Regions from separate parts of the Mus musculus genome. Here region 2 is reported to be linked to region 1. The links are microRNA targets in miRTarBase. Many come from high-throughput screens and were not tested one by one. Region 1 holds a microRNA gene; the other region holds the end of a gene's coding sequence.
The links. The annotated mature microRNA mmu-miR-340-5p reads UUAUAAAGCAAUGAGACUGAUU and lies in region 1 at 2,964-2,985, shown strand. An mRNA with a match to its seed (bases 2 to 7 or 8) in the 3' UTR can be bound and repressed. Matches are read on the target gene's strand: a 7mer-m8 pairs with bases 2 to 8, a 7mer-A1 pairs with bases 2 to 7 and ends in A, and an 8mer does both.

Region 2: miRTarBase lists Rbm18 as a target of mmu-miR-340-5p. The part of its 3' UTR that is shown has no 7-base or 8-base seed match.

What each region holds. Positions count from the first base shown.
Region 1 is chr11:50,066,757-50,073,756 of GRCm38, forward strand. Mir340 (microRNA 340) reads left to right here and starts at 2,946; the gene lies at 2,946-3,043. Rnf130 (ring finger protein 130) reads left to right here. Exons shown (of 9, transcript NM_021540.4): 3 at 4,415-4,665.
Region 2 is chr2:36,111,688-36,119,810 of GRCm38, forward strand. It overlaps Rbm18 (RNA binding motif protein 18), which reads right to left. Exons shown (of 6, transcript NM_026434.4): 6 at 4,392-6,287. The coding sequence ends at 6,128. Among named protein-coding and RNA genes, the nearest start is that of Lhx6, 12 kb to the left of the region's middle.

The DNA of each region.
Region 1 (7,000 bases):
TCACAGTGCTGGGCTCCCTCCCAGAGCCCAGATTAGGCACAAACCACACACAAACACCATTTTCACAGAGAAATCCCTTATTAAGCTGATAGTAAAGGTAAAAATGGTTGCTCTCTAACTTAGGCAGAAAAACAGCAGCAAGTGACTTTGCAGGTGTAATTTTTGAGAAGAGAAAAAGTGGGGGCTGTGTTACAGTGGGCTAGGATGTAGTGATAAGGTTTGTTGGTCATGTTATTAACATGGGGGTTTTGATTGGTGGACCTTTATAGCCTCAGGAATGAGTCTACATGAGAAAATGTCCAAATGAGGGAATAGGCCTTTATGCCTAGCTTTAGGGATATAATCTGTGGTTTACAGGAGAGAGGGAGGGAAAAGGCAAGGCCTGGCAGTGCCATGGGCATGCTAGAGCCCTTCAGAAAACTAATGAGACAAGACAACCAGGTACAGGGTCCATAGCCCTTGGTTGAATTGTTAGGCTGAGTCAGAATAGCTGAATACGAAGTATATTAAACACTAAATACATTTTATCAGAAGTAAAAGTTTAATATAATTAATAAATTGTGTGCATCTGAAGTAACCTTGTTCTTAGGAGAACTGTTGAATTATTAAAGATTGAAATGTCCTATTGGTTACAATCTGCTCTCAGTTGGTCCAGCAAAAAAAAAAAAAAAAAAAATTCGTGTAGAAAGGCAGAAGTGTTTCCTGTTTGCAAATCTAAACAAAGATTATCTGAAAGCTCCCATACTATGGAAACTGTTCCATTTGAAAATTCCTAAAATACTGGGGCTGGGGAGATAGCTCAGCAGTTAAGAGCATTGGCTACTCTTCCTGAAGACCAGAGTTCAATTCCCAGCACCCACATGGTAGCTCCCAACTGTCTATAACTCCAGTTCCAGGCACTCTCACACACGAACGTCTGTATATGCAGGCATAATACCAATACACATAGAATAAAAATAAGTAAATTATGAAGAAAAAAAGAAAAGAAAATTCTCAGAATAAAAAGGGAAGAATTACAGGGAAGAATTGCAAATTTAAGTAGCCATGCTAAGTTACTAAAACAACATAAATTCCTATTAAAGAATAAATTGGCAGGCTAGCAAGATGGTCCAGTAGTTGTGAGTGCTTACTGTTCTCTCAAAGAGTTCGGTTCTCAGAACTCATATGGGACAGTTCACAGTCACCTGTAACACCAGTTCCAGGGAGTCAGTGACAGGTAGATACACACGCATATACATATAAACATGAGGTTAAGTAATAACTTTTTGTTGTTGTTGTTTTTCAAGACACGGTTTCTCTGTGTGGCCCTGACTGTCCTGGAACTCGCTCTATAGACCAGGCTAGCCTCCAACTCACAGAGATCTACCTGCCTCTGCCTCCAGAGTGCTGGGATTATAATAATACTCATAATATTCTTTATTTCACTGCCATCTCTAAGAATTAATACTAGCTATGGTGGTGTGAGTGAGAAAATCTTCCATAGGTGCCCGTATTTGAACACTTGGTCTCAGGTGCATGGTATCATTTGGGGATGTGTTGGAGGTGTGGCCTTGTTGGAAGAGGAGTGTATTAGTAGAGTCCAGCTTTGAAAGTTTAAAGATTCCCAAAATTTACTGCTGTTCTCTCAGCTTAGTGCTTATGGTTCAAGATGTGAGACTGGAGAGATGACTCAGAGGTTTCCAGGGCATTCTTCTGCTCATGGAGAGAACCTGAGTTCAATTCCCAGCACCCACAACAGGTCTCTCACAACTGCCCGTATCCCCCCTTCCAGGGGGTCTGTGACTCCTGGTCTCCACAGGCAACTATAACTTGCATGCACAAAGCTACACACATAAACACATAATTGAAATTAACAGTGTTTTTAAAAAGGTGTGAGTTCTTGGCATCCAGTTCCTACCTACAGTTTGCTGCCATTCTTCCCCACCATGATGGAACTATAAGCCAAACAAGCCCCTCCTTGTATACGTTATGTTGGCTATGATGTTTAACCACAGCAGTAGAAAAGGAACACATAGCTGCATGATTGTTGAACTCCAAAGCCATGTCTTGGTGTTTCAGAACACAGGCATAGGGGTGATCTGGTCACATTCTTTGTATCTGTTTAATGTTTCCATTACTTCAGTCTAATTAACCCCTCTCTCCTACCAGCTACTGCTACTCTAATCCTAGTTTTATCCTGAGGGTTAAGTTTCCTCTGTTGTCATCATCCCTCCTGAATCTGCACCAACTCTCCCAAGAGTTTTTTGTTTTGTTTTTAAGGTTTATTTACTTTTTTATTGTGTGTGTGTGTGTGTGTGTGTGTGTGTGTATACCTGCATGAGTCTATGTGCACCATGTGTACAGAGCCCTCGAAGGCCAGAAGAGAGTGTCTGTTCCCTCTAGAATTGGAGTTACAGTAGTTATGAGCTGCCATATTGATGCTGGGAACCAAACCTCGTCCTCTGCAAGATCAACCAGTGCTCTTAGCCATCTCTTTAGTCCCATCCCCATTTGTAAATGTCTGAGCCATCTTGTTAGGCTCTTTGAACCCAGCCCAGCTCTAGATGTTGGGGAGAAAGAAACTTTTTTCCTAGGAGGGTTTGTAGTTTGCTTCATCACCTTCTGTAAGAGATCACTGCCTTCACTAATATCAGATGTGCTGCTGTACTTTTTTATTTGATCATTTTCAGTCTCCTTTGGCAACATTGCCCAGTCTCCTCTTTTTGCTAGGATGATAAAGCTACAGTGAGATCTATTCACTCTTGTCCTCCTAACAGTGAATATTGACAAGTGTTGAACTAATTAAATTTTTCTTTCCCAAACAGCTTCCTGTTGAGATTAGTTGACGCGCCCATTTAGTGTTCGGTTAAGGAAATTACTGGATTGGTTGCCTTGGCTACCTGTGCAGCTCTCCCCACTTCCAGCTTGAGTCTTCAAGAGGGAGCCTCAGAACTGATTTCTAAAACCAATTGTACTTGGTGTGATTATAAAGCAATGAGACTGATTGTCATATGTCGTTTGTGGGATCCGTCTCAGTTACTTTATAGCCATACCTGGTATCTTAACACCACAGATCATGCCTGTTGATCAACATTGTAAAAGCACAAACTTAAGGTTTCTAAATGGAAATTTAAACTGGTTTAGCATTCTTTTATGATTCTTTTTAACTCACTCACCAGAGGCAGATGTTAACTTAATAATGCTAGTTTTAATTTTGTTGTCTCCTTTTTGTTTATAGATTTTTTAAGCAAAAATAAACTGGTAAACTACTACTCTAATAAAGTGAATAAACCGTTTTGAATACAGTATTATGCAAATATATATTCCATTGAGCTATATTTTTTTCAAAACTTCTGTTACTGAGTTTCTGTTGTGTCTCATCTTGACTGCTAAAGGTAACAAGAAATCAAAACAAGTGTTTCTAATATTTGTTGACAGAGCCTTCAAAAGGTCAGGTCTGGGGTCTCTGCTTGCTGTTTTGAGAGGGTATTTTGTGTTTGGATGCACAATCCTCCTTCATACTCACAAAAGTGACCTTGGTGAGTAGCTGCTCACTCTGACTTAAAACAGGCCCTTGAAGCCATGTGAGAAAAGGACTTGAAAACACAACTGAACCATCCTTGTAATTAACTTATAAAAGTTGTGCCTGTGGGCAGAACTCTGAACAGCTTTTAGGAACTGAAGGTTTTAGGTATCATTATGGGTAGTAGTCCAGAAAGTTGAAACTTGGGCCTGCCTAGAGGATTTGAGTGCGCTGGGCATGGTTAAACAAGGTGGAAAACTAACATAAAACTCAAGTCTGAGGCTAGCCGAGGCAATGTGAGATGCTGGCTCCAAACTGGGTGGGAAAATTGTTGCGTTTGAGCTCCAGAAGTGCCCTGGAAGGAGCTTTACTGTAGACAGAAGACCAAAGTTAGTTTCAAAGGTTGTTGGTAAAAGATGTTGCCGTTCGGCACTTGTCACTCCATAGCCAAGTGTGTGCCCTAAGAAGTACCCTTCTTTCTGTTTCTTAGAGCAGTCCTTGCTCAGCAGTGCGTGTGAGGATGAGTAGTGCAAGGACCACCTGTTCAGACTGTAAATGACAGTGCTTCTCTGTCAGAACTTTCCAGATTGATTGCTATAGAAAGGTTTTCTACTGAAGACTTAACCTGATTTAGTCACAGGTGGCTGCTTTCACAGTGCTTCTAATGCACCGGTAAGGCAGTTTGTGCATTGTTAACACCACAGTTGCTTTATGCGTTACCTGTTTGGAGCACTGTACATGTTCTCATGCCTGTCAGTTTACACAGCTGCAGCCTCATGTCAGTTGAACTGGAATCTATAAACCTTAGTGAAAATTATGGTAATTTCTCTATGGAGCATATGTGTATATTTATTTGATGTGTCTATGAATTTCAGATGTCACTTTAGTCTGTGTATTTGTTTTACATTACAGGCACGGGAGATATTATTGCTGTCATGATAACAGAATTGAGGGGTAAGGATATTTTGAGTTATCTGGAGAAAAACATCTCTGTACAAATGACAATAGCTGTTGGAACTCGAATGCCGCCAAAGAACTTCAGCCGTGGCTCTCTAGTCTTCGTGTCAATCTCCTTTATTGTTTTGATGATTATTTCTTCAGCGTGGCTCATATTCTACTTCATTCAGAAGATCAGGTACACAAATGCTCGGGACAGGAACCAGGTGAGCTAACCAGTACTCTAGCCAGCCGTAATCCATGAGGATCTTGTGATAATACTTGTTTATGTCATATATTTAAAAACAAGACCAACAACAACAAGATAAAAACATGCCAAGTATGGTGCTGTACCCTGTAATACCTGCACTCGGGGTTTTGAGGCCAGTTGGACTACGCAGGCGTTCCAGGCCATATTCTATCTCAGTTTTAAAAAGAAAAAGAAATGAAAGAAAATGTTGTTCTACATAATCACACTGTAACTATCAAAGTCAGTAAATGAATGTCCTTTCAGTACATTTCCTGACCTATCGGCTCTCTCAGGTTCTCCAGAACTGCTTAGAAGTATCCTTAAGGGCAACAAAAACCCCAGATTAGTTAGGCCAGAATGTGTGTTACATTTAGTTGTGCTGTCTCTTTACTGCTTCCTGATACTGGCATCTCAGAAGAGCACAGGTCTGTGTCCTGTGTCTTGTGGTTTCGGTCAAGGTTGTTTGCATTTTGTCAGCATCACCAGCTCCTTTTAGTATTAGGGTAGTGGTAACCTTGCTCTTATTTATTGAAGCAATAGAGATCCATTTCCCAAGTGGTTGCATCTTGCCCAACAGTAGTGAATATCACAGCACAGATCCATGGCTGTACTGGGCCCACTGATGTCTTTAGAGCTGTCCTGTTTAATATGTGCTCATGGACATGTGTGCTTCTGTTCAACTCCATTACATGCAGATTCATGTACTCAGCACAAAAGCTGTAGGACAGGTTTGTTTGTTTGTTTGTTTTTTGGTAAGGAAAGGGTCCAATATTCTCTCATAGCCAGAGACTCTCCCTTCCCCTAACCGTTCAGCACCACTAACTTAATCTTCATCTAGTGCCATTTCAAGAGTGTTGAATAGACAGAGTGTACTTCACCTGGAGAGCTGTGTTTCTTCTTTGTTCAGCAGAGTTCCCTTGAAGTCCTTCCAAGCTGTACACATAAGTAATTTTCTTTTTATTGCTGAGTACTATTCCACGGTATGGATGTACTATAATTTACTTAGCTATTCACTTATTGAAGGATAGCTGAATAATTTTCAGCTAGGGAGTCTAATAAATTAGCTATGATGTTCATGTACTGGTTTTTGTCTGACCATGAGTTTTCATTTTCCTAGAATAAAAGTATAATACTGAATAAATAAATGTTTAATTCAGGTTTGTTGTTGTTGTTGCTGTTTTTAAAGTGTGCCCTTTTCCAGTGTGTGGCTGTTCCAGTTTCTCCACATCTTGACATGATTTGATAGAATAACACTTCTTTTGTGATTATAGTGTGCATTTCTCCCATTGTCACCTATATGAGCATCTGTGTGTGTGTGTGTGTATGTGTGTGTGTGTGTGTGTGTGTGTGTGTGTGTGTATTATGTCCACTGCACCCAAGTTTGTGGGTACAGAAATGTAGTTTCATGTCTTCATACTTGTATAGCAGGCACCATGCTGACAGCCATCTCCCTACCCTGAGCATATTTTCAAGTGCTTCAGTGAAATGTCTTGAGTCTCTTCCCTGTTTTCTTCCTGAATTCTTTGTCTTTTACTGTTGAGGATTTTAAATCCTTGTCTCTGTGCACCACTTGCATACAGTCACCTTGGAAAATAGGGAGAGTGTTAGATATCCTGGGGCTGGAGATACAGGCAGTTGTGAACCACCGTATGGATGCTAGGAATTGAACCCAGGTTCTCTGGAAGAGCAGCCAGTGCTCTTAACCACTCCTTACCATTGAGTTTTTAGACTCTTTATGTATTTAGATATGATATTTGCTATGTCTGATAATGTGCTTTAAAATATTTTCTTCCCAGTTTGTCTATTCAGTCACTTTAATAGTCTTGAAAAACAAATTGTTAAGGATTTTCTAATTTTGGTAAAGTTTAATATGAATTTTTCCTTGAAACTGTATGTTTGGTATCAATTGTAAAAAAGCTCTTTATCACACAAAGATTTTCTTTAAATGTTTAAAGCATTACATTTTAGATCAAGTCAACAGGTCATTTGACTGAAGTGGTTTCTCTTGTAATGCACACATTTTGTGCTATACATTTCTCTCTGCACTGTTTTAGCTCTCCCTAACTGGTTTCGGCACATGCTTTCATTCAGTTGTGTGTTCTCCTGCCTCAGGCCCCCCATGTGCTGGGATGATAGCATGCACCAGCATGCTCAGTCAGCCTGGAATATTTTTTCACTTAACACTTCTTCGACCTGTGTATTAAGAACTGCCTCGTTTCCAATTTAGAGTCTGCTGTGGGGTAGAGCTAATGGTGCTTGATTTGCTTGTGTTATGATCAGAGAAATTCTGGTTTTAGTTCTTTCTAATTTTT
Region 2 (8,123 bases), not on the chromosome of region 1:
GATTTACAGAAAGATATATTAGGCAAGTGTCGGAGAGCTGCTAGCTGGGCGAGCATTACTTTCTAAGCAGAAGGAATGCCTTTACAAGAATTCTGTATGGGGCAGGGATGATGGTCCATGAATCTGGGAGATTCTCTAGTTTGTACTATCGAGTCTCCTGGGGCTAGGGGACAGCACACTGGGGAAACTGTAAAAGCACCGAAGCCTGGTTTATTCTACACATACAGGTACCTGGACAGAGCTTACTTCCATAGCAATTAAATCCCAAGCGCTCTTATGCTGACCATTTGCTCTCTCCACCCCCCTCCCCCTACCTATGGCTCTCTACTTAAGTCCTTGGCTTAGCACAGCCATTTTCTGGGAAAACATTATTCACTCATCTCTGCCCCTACCTGGGGCAGAGATCTCTCCTCTGTTCTTGTTTTATCACAGTATGTGACCATATATTGGGATTAGATTCTATCATCCTTATGGCCATAGTCTATGGCTGTGGAATATGTTTCCTTAGCTGTGGGGAGGGGCAAAAACAGCTTCTCAAATAGTAGAAATTTTAGGGAGGAAAAAAGGCTACCTACCACTTTAATGATCTTTCTTTTTTTTCATTCATTAATTATTCATTTTATATCCCTGTTGCTGTCCTCCTTCCTCCTGGTCCCACACTTACACAGTCCCTCCCTCCATCCCCCTCCCCTTCTTTCCTGAGAAGGGGGAAGGTCCTCTTGGGGCTTTAATGATATTTCTATCCTAGTCACAGGGCATATGGAAACATAAAATGTCATTCTGTGTAATCAATACTCCTAATAAAAGTTGGGCTGAAAGTGAATGTAAAAAGGTAACACCTGTGCCCTATGTTCTGGGACAGATCTCATTGGTCTGATTGCTTGAACCCAAGATTCAAATCTCTCTCCTCTCCAGAGACCACTAGGAAGAGAAGAGCTTTGCCCACGAAAGGATGTAATCAAAAGGGAACCACAATCCAGAGACAGACCTCTAGACGTATCATATGAATACCTGAGATTTTTAGTTACAGGAGCCAGTAAAATTCATACTACAAGGTGGTTGGAACATTGATTTTTGTCACATGAGCTGAAAGAATTCTGACTGGGACTGGAAAACTAACTCAGGGACATCTGATGCTAGTGTGCACATGGCTTGGCTTCCTCATGTGGTCAATGAGGAGGTTGCAGTCATTTGCAGTACAGTGATACTAGGTTGGTATAGGCAATTCCCTATTCCAGAGGCAAATAAGAAACTAGCAACAGGAGGCTGGCGCAATGGCTGCTCTTCCAGAAGACAGGGTCTCAGTTCTCAGGACCCATGTGTCAGCTCATAACTATCTCTGACACCAGTTCTAGAGGACTTGACTCTCTTCTGGCCTCTGAGGGCACTGGATGCACATGGTGCACATACATGCAGGCAAAAACAAACAAACAAACAAACAAACAAACACCCAAAACCAAAAACCAACCAAACAACCTCCAAAACCAAACCAAACAAAAAACAACCAAAAAACCCTCTCATGCACATAATAGATATGGAGAAAGGAGAAAATAATAACACTCATTGCATACCATTATGTCATCTGCTTCCTGTACTTTCTATACTTACCATGGTGGCACCATGGTTGTGGAATAAGTATGTTTCCTCGGCAGAAAGACATTTCCAGTAACAGGGCAGTTTAGAGCAGATATGTATATACTTCAGGCTTTGAGGACCCATGAATTTTTGGTGTAACCACTCGAATGTTGCTAGAGTGAAAAATGGCCTGAGAATCAATAATGTGAATTCATGAGGACATCTGTGTTCTAATTAAAACTTCCTTGGACCCTGAAATTTGATTTTCATGTGCCACAAGATGATAGTCTTTGACTTTTTCCCTCAACCACTTACATTCACAGCTGTACAAAAAGAGGCAGCGTGTGTCACTCTGCCGAGGCACCACCTACTTGGGGAGATGCTTGTAGGCCTGACATATTTAGATTCTACCTAAAGCTCTTCTATTGTGCTGTGCTTGAAGTACATAATAAAGTACACGAGGTAGGCTACCTTATAGCTAAAGGAGAGAGGTTAACTTCAGCACAGTTCTGGAGGTCCACCAGTAGTCAAGGGATGGCATCTAATGATGGCCTTCTTACTGACAGGGTCTTGAGGTTTACATGTGAGGTATGCAAGATGACTCTCAGGGAGTAAGCATGCATACATGCACCTACTGGTCCTCCTCCCCTTCCTTGTCCCTCTTCAACTTTCCATTTTCTTTTTTCTTGAGACAGGGTCTCACTGTAGCTTTGGCTGGCTTGGAACTCACTCTGTAGACCAGGCTGGCCTTGAAGTCACAAAAATCCACCTGCCTTTATATCCTAAGTGATGGGATCGAAGGCATGTGCCACCAACTTGGTTCAATTGTCCAGCCTTTTAATACTTCACAATGGGGGCTCAGCTTCATCACATGAACCCTTGAAGGACACACTGAAACTGTGCCATCTATTAATTGTATGATCCTGTGTAAGCCCCATCATCTCTCTGGGTTTCCCTACTTCCCACCTGGATCACAAGGGAGTGGCGTAGGATGGTCTCAAAAGTCTCTTCGAGTTTCAAGCAACTGGCATCCTAGTATCTCACTCAGCAATTTCACTGAGCATGTGCCACACGATAGGCACTGTTTAAAAGTCTGGTGACAGGGCAGTGACAACGTTCTTTCTTGAAGTCAACATTATATTTAAACAGAGGACAGATATCCAATTATATAGAATGTTGGGTAGTGGTGAGTTAGTTCTATTTAGAAAATAAGAAGGCAAGAAGTGGAAAGCGGCAGGGATGTAATTTTGACGGGAGGCCAAGGACAGCCTCTTAATCACTGACACGTGAGGAGAGAAATGAGCAGATGGTGTGGGCTCAAGAGCATCTCAGGCAACAGCAGCTAATGGAACCTCTCAGGGAGTTGTTCCCTTGTACCCAAAGGAACAGGGAGGCCACTATGGCTGAGGACAATGACTGATGGGGGAAGAAGCCATATGGGAGACGGTAGTTAAGTGTAAGTCGTTTGGGACCATATAGATCTTTGGATTATAGTCTAGATGTGATGGAAAGCCGTCAAATGTTTGTTTATTTATCTAAACTTTTAAAAGTCTTGCTATGGTGTGCAGGCTAAGACTTTCTGGACTTAAATGGTTCTACTTCTGCCTCTCAAGTAGCTATGACTACAGATACATGCTACTGTATATAGCTTGAGAATGACATTTCAAAACAATTTTTAAAGAAGGCTTGTGGGGTCTTGTGACAAGATTTGTTATCCCAGCTGCTTGAGGTCTGAGACACAAGTTCAAGGCCTACTTGGGTTATAGCATGTGATAATTTCTCAACATGAAAAAACAAGTAAAGGGCTAAGTATGTAGTTCAACGATAAGAGCACTTATCTAGTGTATGCAAATTCCTTCGTTCAACTCCCTCAGTTCAAATACTCTCAAGCAGGGCAACTTTAGAGGTGGGGGCAGGGGGTGGTGCAGATTATTAGTAAGGTATTGCAAGATGGACCATATAGGAGCTAGAAGAAAAAAAAAACCAAAAAGAGAAATCAAGGACAGATTTGTGGGGTTCAAATATTTTAGGAACACGGTGATTATACACAGGAAATGTTTAACATTTAATTTATAAGGCAAGAATACCTTGATCTTTTCTGCCCTAGTATAAGAATCAGAAATGGATGGGTGAATTTGGAAATTAGCTGCTCATCTTTGTAAGAGATGGGGTTGTAGAATGCATGGCTTCATAAAAAAGAGCTTTCCTGATTTACAGCATGCTTTGAGTAATGTCTCCTCAGGTGACCCCTCCCCCAAACACTGAGGTGCCAAGTAAAGAAACCCAACAGGTTAGAGTAATGTCACACTTCCACCTTAGTATTCCCATCAACCCTCCAGTCCTACCTAAGTATTCCCATCAATTCTCCACTCAAGTCAAAATTAAAAGTGAGATGATGTTGACAAATAGCAACCGAAGAATAATTTCAAAGTACAGACGATCTCTTAATAGCCTGGGTTAACAGCTGTAATTCAAAGCTTCTCATCAGACCCTTTCAGTGTATTTACAATGTGCACATTCATTCTGTGAAAACTTGTACTTAGAGAGAAGGAACATTCATGGCATGCAGGGACTTCAACCTCCTACTTTCCTTTCAGCCACCTGTGCCAGGAGGCCACCTAGTCCCCTTCCTCACCTCTAAGGGCAAGGCTAGGCAGGGAAAGGGATGAAGAGACTTGGCCCGTGGAGCCTTTTGGAAAGAAGGCACTTGAAAGCAGCACGTCACGTGGATAAGCTCCTGGCCGATTTGAGTGGAAACCAGTCTACCAGAAAGTTGTGATCCAGGACGTGGATGAAAGACAATAAGACCACATAGATACTGTCGTCTTGCGTTTATTCACATAGAGGGGTAAGAATTGGTACAAATCATAGACATTGTTTAAATACAAATAAATAGTTCTAGATTCTAAAGAAACAACTCTAGATAATCCTAAGTATTCTCTAGGTTCCTATTAAAAATAGAAGGCTATTGGCATCAAATTCTACTCCACCACAACCCTTTGAGAACTTAAGGATGAAATGGTGAATTCTATATTCTAATAAGTCACCAGACAAATGGGAGCCGGTGTTCCCACTTCCCTGAATGAGCTCCCAAGTGGAAGGAGAGTTTCCCACATCACAGATACACACAACTGATAAATCTGGGACATATTCAGTATCTAAAGATAGCTAAAAAACCGACTTGGGAAAAGCAGTAAGAATTCCTCTGAAACAGTTCTGTGGATTCTGAAACCCCAGAAGTTAAGTCAAGTGTCTCTACAACCCAAGTCATCATGGGTGGCACCTGTGGTGAGCGACAGTGACCTGCTCAGTGAAGAACGGTGTTGCTAATGAACAGTCTGTCAGGCCCGGCACCAATTCAATCAGCACTGAGCTGAAGAAACACATTCCCAAGGCTGTCTGTCTATGTGTGTCTCTATACTACCATGTTCATATCTCCAAGGAGACAGAGATATCTGGAGAGAAGCATGCTTTCAGGGTAACGTTCAGTTTTAGGCCGTGCGGTCTTCCAAAAGGACAGAACGAGTGTGGTTGTTACGGTCTTGATGCCTGAGCACCGGCTGCTGACTCCTGCTGCTCACTGCACTTTCTCTCTCAGCTGCAACAAGGTCACTCAGCTGCTTCTTACAGCCCCATACAACTGTGACAAAGTAATGCTTGACAGTAACCAATACAGCAAACTTTAGGTTTTCAAAGAAATTCTGCTTTTCTATTTAGATTGATCATGATACAGTTCTAACTGCAACAACCCCATGCTATAAAACAATCTCATGCAGTAAGTGTATTAAAACCCGGGTTAGTAATAACATTTGGTATTATAGAAGGCAAGGTCATTCAGATTCAAAACCATGATTGCCAAAGAATAAAAGCTGGATTTCCAAATAGAGTATCTGTTGTGGTATAAAATGTTAAATGTGTCTCTACACTTTGACGACATAAACAATTTTAAGACGTATACCACATTTTCCTAACTGAGATTTGGAAATAATAAGCATAATTCTTAAACAGACTGCTACAACATTCACTCAAGGGATCAGCTGCTTTTTGCCAAGAATTCTCTTTTGAATTCAACTGAAGGATTTCTACAGTACATTCCCAAACAGTTCTAAAAATGACTGTAAACGTCTCTCACTTTCCACCCTCACCCTTATTTTTTGTTTATGTTGAAGAGAAGTGTACACATAAAAATGCTAAAAGTTTTTGGTGGATGTTAATACATTTAGTTTCCTGATTTAAATAACAACGTTGTATGCTTGTTTTTCTCTCTGGCACATTGTGTTTCTGGAGTTACAAATCCAAACAAAGCAGCCAACTAGCGCATCTCAGTGTTCACATCACAGTCTGGACACATTCCTATTTATTCTGGATGATGCTCAATTCACACATAGTTCAGGGAAGACACATCCATATGAACACCCAAACACGCTATGTCACCGGCCCTAACAAGAGACTGTGCTCTGTTGGTAGTACCATTCACATCTACACAGTACAGAGGCGAAGGACTTCAGACGTGGAGACCATTTGCTTCTGCTGCTCTGGTAATTCACGACCATCATCTTCGAGACTTCCAGGCTGTTCTAGAGTAAGGAGTAGTCCTTTTTTTATCAGGTGGTTTAAAGTAGGAATAAACAGGCGCTGCTGGGTACTCTGCATCAGGATTTTCTGCCATCATTTTCAGCTTTGCTTCAATGGCTTTTATCTTTGCAGTGACACTGGAAAAAGCACAGCAGAGGGTCAGAGTGGGCAGAGATACAGACACCCAGAAAACACTTGCATCTCTCCCCTTCTTATGCTGATGTGTTTTAGGACAACACGACATAAAATTATAAACATGAAAACGAAGCCTGAAAATCAGTTATGTTTTTATAATATAAGCCCAGGCAGAGTTGTGCATATGTCATACACCCTTACATAGTCAGTCCTGAGACACAGACTTTAGGCAGTATCCCAGTGCTTGTCAGAAAGTAAACAAAACACAAGACTGACAATGGTGTTAAAGGTAGGTTCTATTTCTTATTTTGCAAATGTTAAATGGCTCACGAGTGAGAGTTGAGAAGTGGATACAAACTGGCTCAAAGACCCATGTTATTAACTAATACACACTACCATACCTGTTCAGCCACTGAGTAATATAATTTTTTCTTTTTTTTTTTAGAAATCTTATCAAGTCTTTTTCTCTTGTGTGTGGATGTTTGACCTGCATATGTGTTTGCGCCTGGTGCTCCCAGAGTCTAGTAGAGTGCATCAGGTTCCCTAGAACTGGAGTCCCAGACAGTTATGAGCCACCACGTAGGTGCTGGGAATTGAACCTACATTCTCTAGAACAACAGCTAGTGTTCTTTAACCTCTGAACCATATCTACAGCCCCGAGTTTATTTTTATTAACAAATATGTTATAGTGAGCCAGACACCCACCACTGTCAGGACTTTATTGCTTCCAGTCCTTACTAATAACACAAGAAGGGTTACCCTCAGGATTTTATGAGATAAATACAAAGGGACATAAATGTGCCCAGGGTTCACAGGGCTAAACTGTAGGATGGCGCACGCCTTTACTCCCAGCACTCAGGAGGCAGAGGCAGGCATATTTCTGAGTTCTAGGCCAGCCTGGTCTACAAAGTGAGTTCCAGGACAGCCAGGGCTACACAGAGAAACCCTGTCTTGAAAAAACAACAACAACAACAAAAAAGATTCAACCTATTTCTTTGTCAAAAAGCCTTTGTTTTCCCTCTGCATCAGAGAGGAAGTATTACAGCTCTGCAGATACAGAGAGGAGGAAGTGAGGGAGAGATGCTGCATAAGCCATGAATGGGGTCACTGCAGTCTCTGCAATCAAACGCAAAGCACTCAGGCTGTGACGCTGTGCTGCCTCAGATTCCCCTTCTCATTCTTGATGCTGTCAATGGGCTATAGTGTGTAAGGAGTGTCCACACAGTCTTCTACAGATCTGCAGATGGCATACAGCAGTCGAACATTCCCATATATTTTTGTGGGCAACCAATTAAAAACTAAATCAATAAGAAGGGATCAAACATGGGAAAAGGCAGTTGTTTTCCCTGTATGCATGTATCCAAACATCACGTGGACCACACAAAAACATGCAATTTTTTGAAATTCATGCTATCAGAAGTAGCCCTACATTGTATTTCTAAGGGCATTACATTGTGTTTCAAAGATCTATTTTGGTTTTTCTCCCATCTGCATAAGTCATAGGAAAATACGCTCCTGTACTGAAGCACAGTTGTAAATAGAAAGATAAGGACTGAAAGACTCTTGATTAAAAAGTAGATGAAAAACACCAGGCTATGGTAAACAAGCTGCAGGCACAGAGGGAAAAGTTAAAGCCATGCTCACTATCACAGGGAGACCATTGAGCATAATCTAGAGAGCAGTGCAGGAGAGCTATGAAAATCTCCACGGAGATCAACCTGGGACCAAGGAGCTTTAGAGTCTATGGGAATGATGGTACATGGATATGAGCTCTCAGTGACTCTAAAGAAATCACACTTGTTTTCTATGTAATTTCAATCTCTAGACCATCTCCCTTC